Anolis sagrei: one gene and its partner. The protein of the gene in region 1 interacts with the protein of each later gene in a pairwise test. Links are inferred from orthologs where the notes say so. Each region holds a gene or a part of one and is shown on either strand. Other genes may lie near its edges.

Region 1 (7,103 bases):
GTATTTTGGGCCGGAACCGTTTAGGGCTTTGTAGGCCAAAACCAGCACCTTGAATTGGGTCCGGTAGCAAATCGGCAGCCAGTGGAGCTGGGACAACAAGGGCGTTGTGTGCTCCCTGCCACCCGCTCCAGTTAGTAACATGGCTGCCGCGCGCTGAACCAGCTGAAGCTTCCGGGCCGTCTTCAAGGGCAGCCCCACGTAGAGAGCGTTGCAGTAATCCAGGCGGGATGTGACAAGAGCGTGTACCACCGTGGCCAAGTCAGACTTCCCGAGATACGGGCGCAGCTTTATCACCTTTTCATCCATGCCTCAGCACTATTCCAATTTTTACATGTGGCCTTCCCACAGTTTTAACTGTATGTTGTTTAATTGATGTTAAATGATTATTGTTTATGTTTTATTTTGATTGCTTGTATTGTTGTGATTATTGCCTGTATTGTTGTGTTTGGGCTCGGCCTCATGTAAGCCGCACCGAGTCCCTTGGGGAGATGGTAGCGGGGTACAAATAAAGTGTTATTATTATTATTATTTTATTATTATTAAGAAGAAAGCGCAAAAGCTGGGTTGTAGCTAAACATAAAAAAACCCCAAGATTATGGCAACAAGAATGAGTGACAACTGGAAAATAGAGGGAGAAAATGTGGAGGCCGTGACAGACTTTGTATTTCGAGGTGCAAAGATTACTGCAGATGCAGACTGTGGCCAGGAAATCAGGAGACGCTCCCTTCTTGGGAGGAGAGCAATGTCCAATCTCGATAAAATAGTAAAGAGGAGAGACATCACACTGGCAACAAAGATCCGCCTAGTCAAAGCCATGGTATTCCCTGTAGTAACCTACGGATGTGAGAGCTGGACCTTAGGGAAGGCTGAGTGAAGGAAGATAGACGCTTTTGAACTGTGGTGTTGGAGGAAAGTTCTGAGAGTGCCTTGGACAGCGAGAAGATCCAACCAGTCCATCCTCCAGGAAATAAAGCCCAACTGCTCATTGGAGGGAAGGATACTAGAGACAAAGTTGAAGTTCTTTGGTCACATCATGAGGAGACAGCAAAGCCTAGAGAAGACAATGATGCTGGGGAAAATGGAAGGCAAAAGGAAGAGGGGCCGACCAAGGGCAAGATGGATGGATGGCATCCTTGAAGTGACTGGACTGACCTTGAAGGAGCTGGGGGTGGTGACGGCCAACAGGGAGCTCTGGCATGGGCTGGTCCATGAGGTCACAAAGAGTTGGAGACAACTGAACGAATGAACAACAATGACAGTGTGAATAAATTGTCAATATTTGCTTGAGATAGTGCTTGTAGTTCTGGAGGAACTCTTAATTTTTTGCGTCTCATAGACTTAGCATGGGGATTTGGTTAACCATTTAAACTTCATGAGTAAACTAGGTTTTTTTTAACCTGAAAAATTTGGGGGTGGGTGGGTGGGGGTTGAACCTGTACCCCCCTCCCCCGGCTACAGGCCTGGTCATATCACTAGTCAAATTAATCAATCAATAAATTATTATTATTATTATTATTATTATTATTATTATTAGTTCAAAGCCTCAGACAGGCCTCATATTCCAGGAGCTGATCCCAGGTTTTCTGCTCTAAACTGGGTTATAAGAGTCCACACTGTCTGATTTTTTTTTTGTTGTGTAAGGAGTGACTTGAGAAACTGCAAGTTGCTTCTGGTGTGAGAGAATTGGCCGTCTGCAAGGATGTTGCCCAGGGGACGCCCGGATGATTTGATGTGTTTATCATCCTTGTGGAAGGCTTCTCTCATGTCCCCGCATGAGGAGCTGGAGCTGATAGAGGGAGTTCATCCGCCTCTCCCTGGATTCGAACCTGCGACCTGTCGGTCTTCAGTCCTACTGGCACAGGGCTTTAACTCACTGCGCCACCGGGGACTGCTACACTGTCTGATATTTTTATTTATCGTGTCATCAGCAACCATACCATTGTATTACATTTCTAACAGAACAAAACAAACACACAGATTAAAAAAAACACACAGACTTTGTAAACTTGGTAGTTGATTAAATGTCCTTTGACCAGTATCTGGCCACTTGGAGTGCCTCTGGTGTTGCCGCAAGAAGGTCCTCCATGGTGCATGTGGCAGGGCTCAGGGTGCATTGCAGTAGGTGGTCTGTGGTTTGCTCTTTTCTGCACTCGCATGCCGTGGATTCCACTTTGTAGCCCCATTTCTTAAGATTGGCTCTGCACCTCGTGGTGCCAGAGCGCAGTCTGTTCAGCGCCTTCCAAGTCGCCCACTCCTCTGTGTGCCCAGGGGGGAGTCTCTCATTTGGTATCAGCGATTGGTTGAGGTTCTGGGTTTGAGCCTGCCACTTTTGGACTCTCGCTTGCTGAGGTGTTCCGGCGAGTGTCTCTGTAGATCTTAGAAAACTATTTCTAGATTTAAGTCATTGATGTGCTGCCTGATACCCAAACAGGGGATGAACTGGAGATGTCTCTGCCTTGGTCCTTTCACTATTGGCTGCTACTTCCCGGTGGATGTCAGGTGGTGCAATACCGGCTAAGCAGTGTAATTTCTCCAGTGGTGTAGGGCGCAGACACCCTGTGATAATGCGGCATGTTTCATTAAGAGCCACATCCACTGTTTTAGTGTAGTGAGATGTGTTCCACACTGGGAATGCATACTCAGCAGCCAGAGATGGCCCTAGGTAATTTTCAACGGTAAGCAAACAGTATTTTGGCACCCCCCTCCCCAACCAATCATTGATATATATTTTCCGTTTGTCATGGGAATTGTGTATGCCATATTTGGTTCAATTCCATCATTGGTGGAGTTCAGAATGCTCTTTGATTGTAGGTGAACTATACATCCCAGTAACTACACTTGCCGCATTTGCTCCCTTGCCTGGCCTGCTTTGGGTCCAGAGGCGTGCCTGAAGACCCGTCGTGTGCACCAAAAGTCACCTCTTCTCCTGACTTTCTCCTCAGCCATTGGGACCAAGAGAGAGAGAGAGAGAGAGAGAGAGGTGGAGAATGCCACCTTTCCTGAAGGTAGGAGCAAAAACAAAGGAGGGAGCAGAGGTGGGAGATACCTCCAGCCGGAGGGGCTCTCTCTCTCTCTCTCTCGGTCCCAATGGCTGAAGAGAAAGTCAGGAGAAGAGGCAACTTTTGGTGTGCACGCTGGGGTCTTCAGACATGCCTCCGGACCCGAAGCAGGCCAGGTGCGGCGGCTCCGCCCCTTGGCCTACCCGAAGATTGGGGAGAGGAGAGGAGACGGGTGGAGTGCCGGGGGATTGGGAAAGGGAGCCGGTCATGGGGAAGGGAACGAACGCGGAGAATGATTGAGCGCCGGCTCTGCTCACGCACCCGGTGGCCGGGTGGAGCAGGAACGAGAGGGGCTAGGCGAGGCTCAAGGGCCTGGCCCCTTTGGGAAGAGGATTGCCCGGCAGCGAAGCAAGAAAGCCGAGGCTCCCCCCGGACTGCTAGGGCTGTTGTGAGCTGAGGGGGTGCTCCTCAAGTGGCAGTCGAGGGGCATTTACAGAGGCGCCTCTGCGCCCCTGGCAAAAAAAAGTGTTCTGCGACCGCTTACTTCGCGTAATGGACGAGCCGCCCCTGTCAGCAGCAGAGTAGCATAGCGTAAGGGCAGATGTCTTCACTGTGTCTGGTTGTGATCCCCAGGTTGTGCCAGTCAGCTTTCCTATGATGTTGTTTCTAGCGCCCACTTTTTGCTTCATGATAATCTGAGGCAAACAGGAAACCTAGAATCAGATGCTTGAATATAGGGCCTGTCTGGAAGGACCCAAGTTGTGTGAGGTAACCACCCGCTGCCAAGGCCTGCCCGCCTATCTCCACCACAGCCCGGCCAATGCTCTCCTGGCGAGTGCGCGAGGAAAAGGCCCGCCTCCCTCCCTCTGTCCCTCCCTCCCTCCCTCCCTGGGCGCTCCTGGCGGAGGGATCCTCGTCGTCCTGCCTCCTGGAGCCGCGCGTCGTTCACCTGGGCGGCGCGGCGGATGTGTCCCAGCCTCCTCGCCTCCCCCTCCCCCTCCTCTTTTGTGCTGCTGGTTCTGCGGCTCTCGCGGTGTCCCTGGAAGTAGTTCCGACACTCCCTTCCCAGGTCCAGGGTGCTACGCTGCCGGAGCCTCATCACTTTGTGTGATTATTTTATCCATTTTCCTCAAGCCGAGAGACGTCAAGAAGTCCCTGAGGAATGCGGCAGGGCTAGCGGATTGCCAGGAGGACTGAAGCGGCTGAGAGAAAGCAGGCCGGAGAAAGAAAGGGCCCGGGCGAGCAAAGGCCGACGTGAATGCCTTTGCCGTAGGAGCTGGAGGAGGAAAGAAGGAAGGGAGATTGTGCCTTCGGAAAACCCAGGCGAGGCTGCAGGCATGCGTAGTTCCTGCGCGCGGCCTCCCTCCCGGGCTTCCAAAGGGAAGGGGGATCGAGGCTGCCTGGACTGAGGGAGGCCGCGGCGCGCGACGGAGTGAGTGCGCGAGCGAGTGCGCGAGGGAGGCCTCCTTTGGCGCGAGGCGGGGGCCATGGGGGCGCGCGCCTGCCCTCCCGCCGCCCCTTCCCCGGCCGCCGAGTAGTGTTTGTTCCGGGAAGAGAAGACAGACAAAGGCGGGAGGGGAAGACCCTTCCCCGGCTGAGGCCTCTCCAAGCAATTGTTTCGGCGCCGCTCCGTTTCTGCCCCTCCGAAAGCATGAGAGGGCGGCCGAGGAGGTGTCGCTCTCCTCCTCCTCCCCCTCCGCCACCTTCGCCTCCCCGCCGGTGAGAGCCAGAGGAGGGAAGATGGGCGCCGTGCTGAGGAGCCTCCTCGTCTGCGGTTTGTGTTCCCTGGCGAGAGGTGAGAGCCAAGGAGGGAGGCGGGCGGGCAGGCAGGCAGGCCGAAAGTTGGGCCTTGTGGGGAATCAAGGCGGCTCTCCTCCCTAGGAGTTGTGTGTGTCTACTCAAGGCAGGGACACCTCTGAGGGGCGAGAGGGAAAGGCCTGGCTGCTGGAAGGGGGCGGGGATCCTGCCTTCATCCGTGGATATGTGTTGGTTCTGGGCCTTTCTCTCAGGCCCCCCTCTACACTGGCCTTCAGACTCAGGGCCCTTCCACACACAGCCCTATATCCCAGAATATCATGGCTGAAAATCCCACATGACCTGAGTGTGGACTCAGGGCCCTTCCACACAGCCATAGAACCCAGAATATCGAGGCAGGAAATCCCACAAAGTGTGGATTCAGGGCCCTTCCACACAGCCACAGAACCCATAATATCAAGGCAGAATATCGCACATTACCTGAGTGTGGACTCAGGGTCCTTCCACACAGCCATAGAACCCTGAATATCAAGGCAGGAAATCCCACAGTGTCTGAGTGTGGACTCAAGGTCCTTCCACACAACCACAGAACCCAGAATATCAAGGCAGAAAATCCCAAATTATCTGAGTGTGGATTCAGGGCCCTTCCACACAACCATAGAACCCAGAATATCAAGGTAGGAAATCCCACATTATCTGAGTGTGGACTCCAGGCCCTTCCACACAACCACAGAACCCAGATTATCAAGGCAGAAAATCCCGCATTATCTGAGTGTGGACTCAGATAACCCAATTAAAAACAGATATTGTGGGATTTTCTGCCTTGATCTTCTGGGATATAGGGTTTGTGGAAGAGCGCTGTCATTGTGGACTCATAATCCAGTTTAAAGCAGAAAACCTGGGATCATATCCTGAGATATAAAGCCTATCTGGAAGGGCTCTGGGTTATTTGGCTGTGTAGAATGGCCCTACACTGCAATATTTGATTTGAACTGCATTATATGGCAGTGTAGAAGAGGCCTTGCTAAATAATTCTCCATTTCCTGAATTTGAGACCAAGCCACACTAGAATTCACACAAATAACTATCGTTTAGATGAGACTGAAAGTTGTATATAAACAAATAAGCAAATGCTTGGTTGTGGGTGTGCGGATTGAATTGCATGGGGACTGAGCTCCACATAATCTCTCCCTAATTTCGGGGTCCTTCCACACAGCCATTTAACCCAGAATATCAAGAGAGATACTCCACAGTGGCTCCTTCCACACAGCTCTATAAAATCCCACATTGTCTGCTTTGAACTGGATTATATGGCAGTCTTGACTCAGATAATCCAGTTCAAAGCAGATATTGTGGATTATATGACTTGATATTCTGTGTTATGTGGCTTTGTGGAAAGTCCCAATGTCTGCTTTGAACTGGGTGCCCTTCCAGACAGGCCCTATATCCCAGGATCTGATTCCAGATTTTCTGTTTATCCCAGATTATTTGGCAGTGCAGAAAAAGCAGAAAACCTGGGATCAGATCCTGGGATATTGGGGTTGTCTGGAAGGGATCTGGGTTATCTGAGTCCACAATGCCATATAATCCAGTTCAATGTGTATTTTATACAGCTGTGTGAAAGGGGCCTCAGTTGTAATTTTAAGGCCCTTTCTACACTGCCATGTAATCCAGATTATCAAATCAGATAATCCACATTATCTAGATTATATGATTCTACGCTGCCATATATATAATCAGTTCAAAGCAGATAATCTGGATTTTATATGGCAGGGTAGAAGGGGGCTAAGTGTGAGAACATTTAAGGTCCTTCCACACAGCCCTATATCCCAGAATATCAGAAAATCCCACAATATCTGCTTTGAACTGGGCTATCTGAGTCCACACTCAGATGATGTGGGATTTTCTGCCTTAATATTCTGGGATATAGGGCTGTGTGGAAGGGCCCAAAGCAACAGTTGGAAAAAGTTAATTTAGTTAGATCCCACTCTGAAGTGTATCTATGTTAGAACATATGTTCTAACTAATAAGTAAATACATGTAGAACCTAACCTTGTTGATTAAATATACCCAAAGCTATTTCTGAGGGCCCTTCCACACAGCTCTATAACCTAGAATATCAAGGCAGAAAATCCCACAATATCTCCTTTGAACTGGGTTATCTGAGTCCACACTGTCATGTATTCCAGTTCAAAGCAGATAATGTGGGATTTTATTTAGCTGAGTGGAAGGGGCCACAGTCTTCAGGAAAGAACAGCATGCCAGGAATATGATTTGTTTGCTACTATACACACGCATGCTACTACAACACATGCATACACACACATAGTAGGGAAAGTATGTATTTTA
Region 2 (7,591 bases), on another chromosome or scaffold:
AGATTTTAAGGTTGGCTTTGAGGCCATCTTTCAATCTCTTTTCCTGTCCACCAACGTTCCGTTTTCCGTGTATACAGACATACACAGAGGCTATTTAACTTTTTCTGGCCGCCAGGGGAGCTGGCGCTTTCATCGTCCATCTGTGACGCTGATGAAGCACTTCCGCATTCCCCGCATGTTTCCCCGCTGGAATGCTTTGCTCTGCTTTGCTTTATGGCCTCATAAATCAGTTAATTTAGCCTCCCCACACTTTTAAGGTGGTACCTTATTTTCCTACTTGACAGATGCAACTGTCTTTCAGGTTGCAAAGGTCGACAACAGGCTACACACAATTGGTTGGAAACCCACTCCAACCCGGGCTGGCTTCGAACTCATGACCTTTTGGTCAGAGTGATCTTAATGCAGCTCTGACACTCAGCCAGCTGCACCACAATCCCAGTCTTCATATGTTGATGCCTTCATATATGCTTTTCTTAGCTGTGTTTTACAGAGGAATGGGACTGAGTTGCACCCGCCTCCAGCCGAAAGGGGAGGACGGGAATACATTATCATAACTTTAAGATCGTCCGGGGAGGCCCTTCTCTCGATCCCGCCTGCATCACAAACAGGGACGAGAGACAGGGCCTTCTCAGTGGTGGCCCCTCGGATATGGAACGCCCTTCCCGAGGACATTAGATCGGCCCCCTTAACATTTTGGAAAAAAGTCAAGACTTGGTTGTTTGAATAAGCATTTGAAAATGTAAGGTAAATGACATAGGAATTGGAACAACCGGATGATGAGATTGGACAAATAGGAGACGTAATTGATGTATGTTTTTTCTGTAAATATTTTTTATTATTTTATCATGGTTTAATACATTTGTTATACATTGTTTTACAGCAGATACATATTAATATACATGGAGGTCTCTTCCAACTCTAGGATTCTAGAAGGCATCTGCTACTCTGCTGCTGAGTACGCATACCAAGAGGGGAACACATATCACCTCGCTAAAACAGTGGATGTGGCTCTTTCTCATGATCTCCAGCTCATGCCATACAACTGACACAAACCACATGGCCATGGGACATTGGGCCAAAAGGAAATGCAGGACACTCAATTGCCCAAAGGCAAACTCCAGGTATTCTTGAGAGACACGGATTATCTGGATCCGGCACAGTCTGGCTTTAGGCCGGGGCATGGTACCGAGACAGCCTTGGTCGCCTTAGTGGATGATCTTCGCCGGGAGCTCGACAGGGGGAGTGTGTCCCTGTTAGTTCTGCTGGACCTCTCAGCGGCCTTCGATACCGTCGACCACGGTATCCTTCTGGGGCGTCTTGCGGAAATGGGTCTCGGAGGTACTGTTTTGCAGTGACTCCGGTCATTTCTGGAGGGTCGTTCCCAGAAGGTGTTATTGGGGGACACCTGTTCATCCCCACAACCATTGTCTTGTGGGGTTCCACAGGGCTCTATATTATCCCCCATGCTGTTTAACATCTACATGAAGCCGCTGGGAGAGATCATCCGGAGTTTCGGGGTGCGGTGTCACCTGTACGCGGATGATGTCCAACTCTGTCACTCCTTCCCACCTGCTACTAAGGAGGCTGTCGAGGTCCTGAACCGGTGCCTGGCCGCTGTGACGGTCTGGATGAGGGCGAACAAACTGAAACTAAATCCAGACAAGACAGAGGTACTCCTGGTCAGGCGAAAGGCCGAACAGGGTATAGGGTTACAACCTGTGTTGGACGGGGTTACACTCCCGCTGAAGATGCAGGTTCGCAGCTTGGGTGTGACCCTGGATTCATCGCTGAGCCTGGAGCTAATACTAATACTTCCTTCCTTGTATTGTCGAAGGCTTTCATGGCTGGAATCACTAGGTTCTTGTAGGTTTTTTCAGGCTGTATGGCCATGGTCTAGAGGCATTCTCTCCTGACGTTTCGCCTGCATCTATGGCAAGCATCCTCAGAGGGAGTGAGGTCTGTTGGAAATAGGACAATGAGTTTATATATCTGTGGAATGGCTGGGGTGGGGCAAAGAGCTCTTCTCTGCTGGAGCTAGGTGTGAATGTTTCAGCTGACCACCTTCATTAGCATTTGAAGGCCTGGCTGAGCCTGGGGGAATCTTTTGTTGAGAGGTGTTAAGATGTGCCTGGTTGTTTCCTCTCTGTTGTTTTGCTGTTGCAATTTTAGAGTTTTTTAATACTGGTAGCCAGATTTTGTTCATTGAACAAAACAACAGCAAAATAACAGAGAGGAAACAAACAAGGACATCTAACCACCTCTCAACAAAAGATTGCTCCAGGCACTGCCAGGAAATCAAATGCTGATCAAGGTGGTCAGTTGAAACATTCACACCTAGCTGCAGCAGAGAAGAGCTCTTTGCCCCACCCCAGCCATTCCACAGATATATAAACCCATTTTCCTACTTCCAACAGACCTCACAAGCTCTGAGGATGCTTGCCATAGATGCAGGCGAAACATCAGGAGAGAATGCCTCTAGAACATGGCCATACAGCCCGGAAAAACCCACAAGAACCCAGTTATTCCGGCCACGAAAGCCTTTGACAATACAGATTCAACCTTCTTCTGTTTTTTGTAAACAGTGGTGATTGTGAGAGTGGTCCAGCATGTAATCACCTCTCAACAAAAGATTGCCCCAGGCACTGCCAGGTGGTCAGTTGAAATATTCCCACCTAGCTTCAGCAGACAAGAGTCCTTTGTCCCATCCTGGTCTTTCCACAGATATATAAACCCAATTTTCCTATTTCCAAGAGACCTCACTAACTTTGAGGAGGTTTGCCATTGATGCAGGCGAAACGTCAGGAGAGAATGCCTCTAGAACATGGCCCTATAGCCCGGAAAAAAGTACAACAACTCAAGGACATCTAATCACCTCTCAACAAAAGATTCCCCCAGACACTTCCAAGCCATCAAATTGTAATCAAGGTGGTCAGTTGAAACATTCACCCCTAGCTCCAGCAGACAAGAGTCTTTTGTCCCACCCTGGTCATTCCACAGATATATAAACCCATTGTCCTATTTCCAACAGACCTCACAACCTCTGAGGATGCTTGCCATAGATGCAGGCGAAACGTCAGGAGAGAATGCCTCTAGAACATGGCCAAATAGCCCGAAAAAACCCACAAGAACCTACTTATTATTGATTGATTGATTGATTGATTGATTTACTTCCCTTGTATACTGCTCTTCTCAGCCCTCAGGCGACTCAGAGCGGTTAACAACGAATTCAGCAGCACAAAACAGATCATTACTCAATTAAGACAGCAATATCAATTAATTCACATCAAAACATCAATACAACAATACAACAAAATAGCAATCCATCACGTCTCATCAGTAGAATCAGCATCCACTCTCATTGTCCATTAATCCATATTCCAATAGGGATACTAATAGGTTCTTGTAGGTTTTTCCGGGCTATATGGCCATGTTCTGGAGGCAATTTTTCTCCTGACGTTTCGCCTGCATCTATGGCAAGCATCCCCAGAGGTAGTGAGGTCTGTTGGAAGTAGGAAAATGGGTTTATATATCGGTGGAATGACCAGGGTGGGGCAAAGGACTCTTGTCTGCTGGGGCTAGGTGTGAATGTTTCAGCTGACCACCTTCATTAGCATTTGAAGGCCTGGCTGAGCCTGGGAAAATCTTTTGTTGAGAGGTGTTAAGATGTACCTGGTTGTTTCCTCTCTGCTATTTTGCAACATTCACACCTAGCTCCAGCAGAGAAGAGCTCTTTGCCCCACCCCAGCCATTCCACAGATATATAAACCAATTTTCTTACTTCCAACAGACCTCACTACCTCTGAGGATGCTTGCCATAGATGCAGGCGAAACGTCAGGAGAGAGTGCCTCTAGAACATGGCCATACAGCCCGAAAAAACCCACAAGAACCTAGTGATTCCAGCCATGAAAGCCTTCGGCAATACAGGGATACTAATACTTCCTTCCTGCCTGCCTTTGGGCCCGGAGCATCCAAGAGGCTGATGGGAGCGGAGTCTCCTCCCTCTCTCTCCCGCGGGACTACACCTCCCAGCAGCCCTTTCGGGGGGGGGGGCGTCCCAACCCTCACACTTCCTGCCGCGAAGCACGACGGGAGACGTAGTTTCCGCCGCCGGGTCACGAGACTCTTTCCTCCTCCTGCCTCCTGCTGCTAAGGCTGGGCGCGGGGCATGCCGGGAGCAGCAGAGCAGGGCCCGCGGCCTCCCGTCGTGCCCCGCGGCGCCCAGGCCGCAGCCCGAGCTCGCTTGCCTTCCGCCCGGGAGGGCCCTCCGCCCACACCGCCGACATGGAGCAGCGCCGAGGCGGAGCGGGAGGAACAGGGGGAGAAACAGGAGGGGGGCCCGCCCGCGCCCCTGAAGGTAGGTCGGTCTGTCAGTGTGGGAGTCGTTGCCGCGCGGCGCAGTCTGGGAAGTGTAGTCGTGCCGGGCTCGGGGGAACTCATTTCGCTCCCGTCGTGCTTTGCGGCGCCTCGGGAGGGCGGCGCGGCGCCTTCTGGGAAGCGGAGTCCGGCTGCCGGCACTGGGGCGAGAGAGTGGAGGGGACTCCATTTCCCGTGGGGCCTCGCGGCGGTGGCGGCGGCGGTGGTGGTGGTGGTGGCGACGGCCTCTCTCTCTAGATAGGGAGCCAGGCTTCTCCTCCTCCTCCTCCTTCTCCGCGTCCCGGCCTCGCCATGAGCAGCGGCAGCGCGGGCGGCTCCTCCTCGCGGCCTAGAACCAGCTCCTTCGCCGACCCCTCCAACGCGCCCCCCGCCGCCGCCGTCGCCGCCCCCAACACCTCCGCCGCCCCCTCCTCCTCCGCCGCCTCGGCCCCCCCTCCCCCGCTGCCGCCCCCCGCAGGGAGCAAGGCCGCCGGGCCCGGGCCTGGAGGAGGGGGCGGAGGAGGGGGAGGGAGCTTGTCGTCGGGGGGCTCCTTCCCGGGACTCAAGCTCGGAAGTGAGTCTGCGCGGAGAGGGGGAAAGGGGGTCTCCAGGGTCGCACCCCCCTCCCTTCACTGTTCTGTCTCTATTCCTATTATGATGAGGATTATTATGATAGATACCTGGGCCTGGGTCTCTCGCGGTGACGTCACGGGGAGGTCATTGGACTGGGGAAGGGGTCTTGAGAATCCGGGTTCAGGTTAGGGGTTAGGGGGGTGGCCCACTAAGTAAGGGAAAGGGAGGAGGAGGATCTGGTTGCCTGGCAACCGCAGACGGGAGGGGCGTGGCCCAAGTGGGGGCACGGGTGGGTGGGGGCAAAGGTGAGCTGAGCAAGGCATCTCAGGGCAGACCTTGGCCAAGACCCCCCCACACACACCGAGGGGCACCCCAGTGGTCAAGGGAGTGGAGCACACAGGCTCCTCCTGGATGGCCATCTGTTGGGGGTGCTTTGAATGGGGGCTGGGGGTAGGGGTAGGGGTGGGTGGGGGTAAAGGTGAGCAAGGCATCTCAGTGCAGACCTAGGTCAAGACCCCCCCCCCCCCCACACACACACACACACCGAGGGGCACCCCAGTGGTCAAGGGAGTGGAGCACACAGGCTGCTCCTGGATGGCCATCTGTTGGGGGTGCTTTGAATGGGGGGTGGGGGTAGGGGTGGGTGGGGTCAAAGGTCAGCAGGACATCTCAGTGCAGACCTAGGCCAAGACCCCCCCCCCCAGACACCTCAGAGAAGCACCTCAGAGAAGCACCCCCCACACACACACCTCAGAGGGACAGTGGTCAAGGGAGTGGAGCACACAGGCTCCTCCTGGGTGGCCATCTGTTGGGGGTGCTTTGAATGGGGGGGTGGGGGTAGGAGTGGAGGGGGGTAAAGGTGAGCAAGGCATCTCAGGGCAGACCTAGGCCAAGACACCCCCCCCCCCCCCCCACACACACACACACGCACCTCAGAGGGACAGTGTTCACGGGAGTGGGTCACACAGGCTCCTCCTGGATGGCCATCTGTTGGGTGTGCTTTGAATGCAATTTTCAAAGGTGAGGAGGGCATCTCAGGGCAGACCTAGGCCAAGACCCCCCCACACACACCGAGGGACACCCCAGTGGTCAAGGGAGCAGGGCACACGGGCTCCCACTGGATGGCCATCTGTTGGGGGTGCTCTGAATGGGGGGTGGGGGTGGGGGTGGGTGGGGGCAAAGGTGAGCAAGGCATCTTGGTGCAGACCTAGGCCAAGAACCCCCCCCCCCCCCCCCACACACACAGATACCTCAGAGGGAGGTGACGAGGGGGCAGCCCAGGTGGGGGTGGGTGGGGGCAAAGGTGAGCAGGACATCTCAGTGCAGCCCCCCCCCCCCCCCCACACAGACACCTCAGAGAAGCACCCCAGTGGTCAAGGGGGCAGCCTAGGTGGGGGCGGGTTGGGGCAAAGGTGAGCAGCCCTAGGCCAAGACTCCCCCCCCCCCGACACCTCAGAGAAGCACCCCAGTGGTCAAGAGAGCGGGACACACAGGCTCCTCCTGGATGGTCATCTGTTGGAGGTGCTTTGAATGCCATTTTCACACGTGGGGGTAGGGGTGGGTGGGGGCAAAGGTGAGCAGGGCATCTCAGTACAGCCCTAGGCCAAGACCCTTCTCCACCACACACACACCTCAGAGCTCAGAGGGAGGTGCCGAGGGGGCAGCCCAGGTGGGGGTGGGTGGGGGCAAAGGTGAGCAAGGCATCTCAGGGCAGCCCTAGGTCAAGACCCCCCCCCCCACAGACACCTCAGAGAAGCACCCCAGTGGTCAAGGGAGTGGGTCACACGGGCTCCTCCTGGATGACCATCTATTTGGGGTGCTTTGAATGCCATTTTCAAAAGTGAGCAAGGCATCTCAGTGCAGCCCTAGGTCAAGACCCCCCCTCCACACACACACACACACCTCAGAGGGAGGTGCTGAGGGGCACCCCAGTGGTCAAGGGAGTGGGGCACACGGGCTCCCACTGGATGGCCATCTGTTGGGAGTGCTTTGAATGCCATTTTCAAAGGTAAGCAGGGCATCTTGGTGCCCCCCTCCTTGAGTGGGAAGTTCAGTCCTAGGCCGAGCCTCAGAGGGAGATGCCGAGGGTCACTCTCTCCTCCTGAGGGGCAGCAAGGGTGGTGGTCAAGGGGCAAAGCAGGAGGGACGCAAGCCCTCCTCCAGAGACCCCGGTCTAACCCTGGAGAGAACGGGCCAGGCAAGGCAAGGGGGCCGAGGCCAGGCCCCTGACACTCCTCTTCCTTCCTTCCTTCCTTCCTTCCTTCCTTCCTTCCTTCCTTCCTCCTTGCATTATTGATAATGTTGTGTACTTTATTGTTTATGTTTTTAATTGCTTGTATTATTATTATTGCTTGTATTGTTGTGTTTGGGCTCGGCCTCTTGTAAGCCGTACCGAGTCCCTTGGGGAAATGGTGGTAGCGGGGTACAAATAAAGTGTTGTTGTTATTATTATTATTATTGTTGTTGTTGTTGTGTTTGGGCTCGGCCTCATGTAAGCCGTACCGAGTCCCTTGGGGAAATGGTGGTAGCGGGGTACAAATAACGTGTTGTTATTATTGTTGTTGTTGTTGTGTTTGGGCTCGGCCTCATGTAAGCCGCACTGAGTCTCTTGGGGAGATGGTGGTAGCGGGGTACAAACAAAGTGTTATTATATTATTATTATTA

Evidence for each region.
Region 2: the proteins of LRP6 (region 1) and glycogen synthase kinase-3 beta-like interact in binary tests that used the Homo sapiens proteins (3 or more experiments, as listed by UniProt). The link is inferred for Anolis sagrei from reciprocal best matches to the Homo sapiens genes LRP6 and GSK3A.

Annotation. Positions count from the first base shown.
Region 1 is NC_090025.1:101,786,079-101,793,181, reverse strand, and holds the start of LRP6 (low-density lipoprotein receptor-related protein 6), read left to right. Parts: upstream 1-3,907; 5' UTR 3,908-4,739; coding exon 4,740-4,794; intron 4,795-7,103. UniProt on the Homo sapiens protein: Component of the Wnt-Fzd-LRP5-LRP6 complex that triggers beta-catenin signaling through inducing aggregation of receptor-ligand complexes into ribosome-sized signalosomes.
Region 2 is NC_090034.1:109,126,159-109,133,749, forward strand, and holds the start of glycogen synthase kinase-3 beta-like, read left to right. Parts: upstream 1-4,478; 5' UTR 4,479-4,666; coding exon 4,667-4,928; intron 4,929-7,591. UniProt on the Homo sapiens protein: Constitutively active protein kinase that acts as a negative regulator in the hormonal control of glucose homeostasis, Wnt signaling and regulation of transcription factors and microtubules, by phosphorylating and inactivating glycogen synthase (GYS1 or GYS2), CTNNB1/beta-catenin, APC and AXIN1.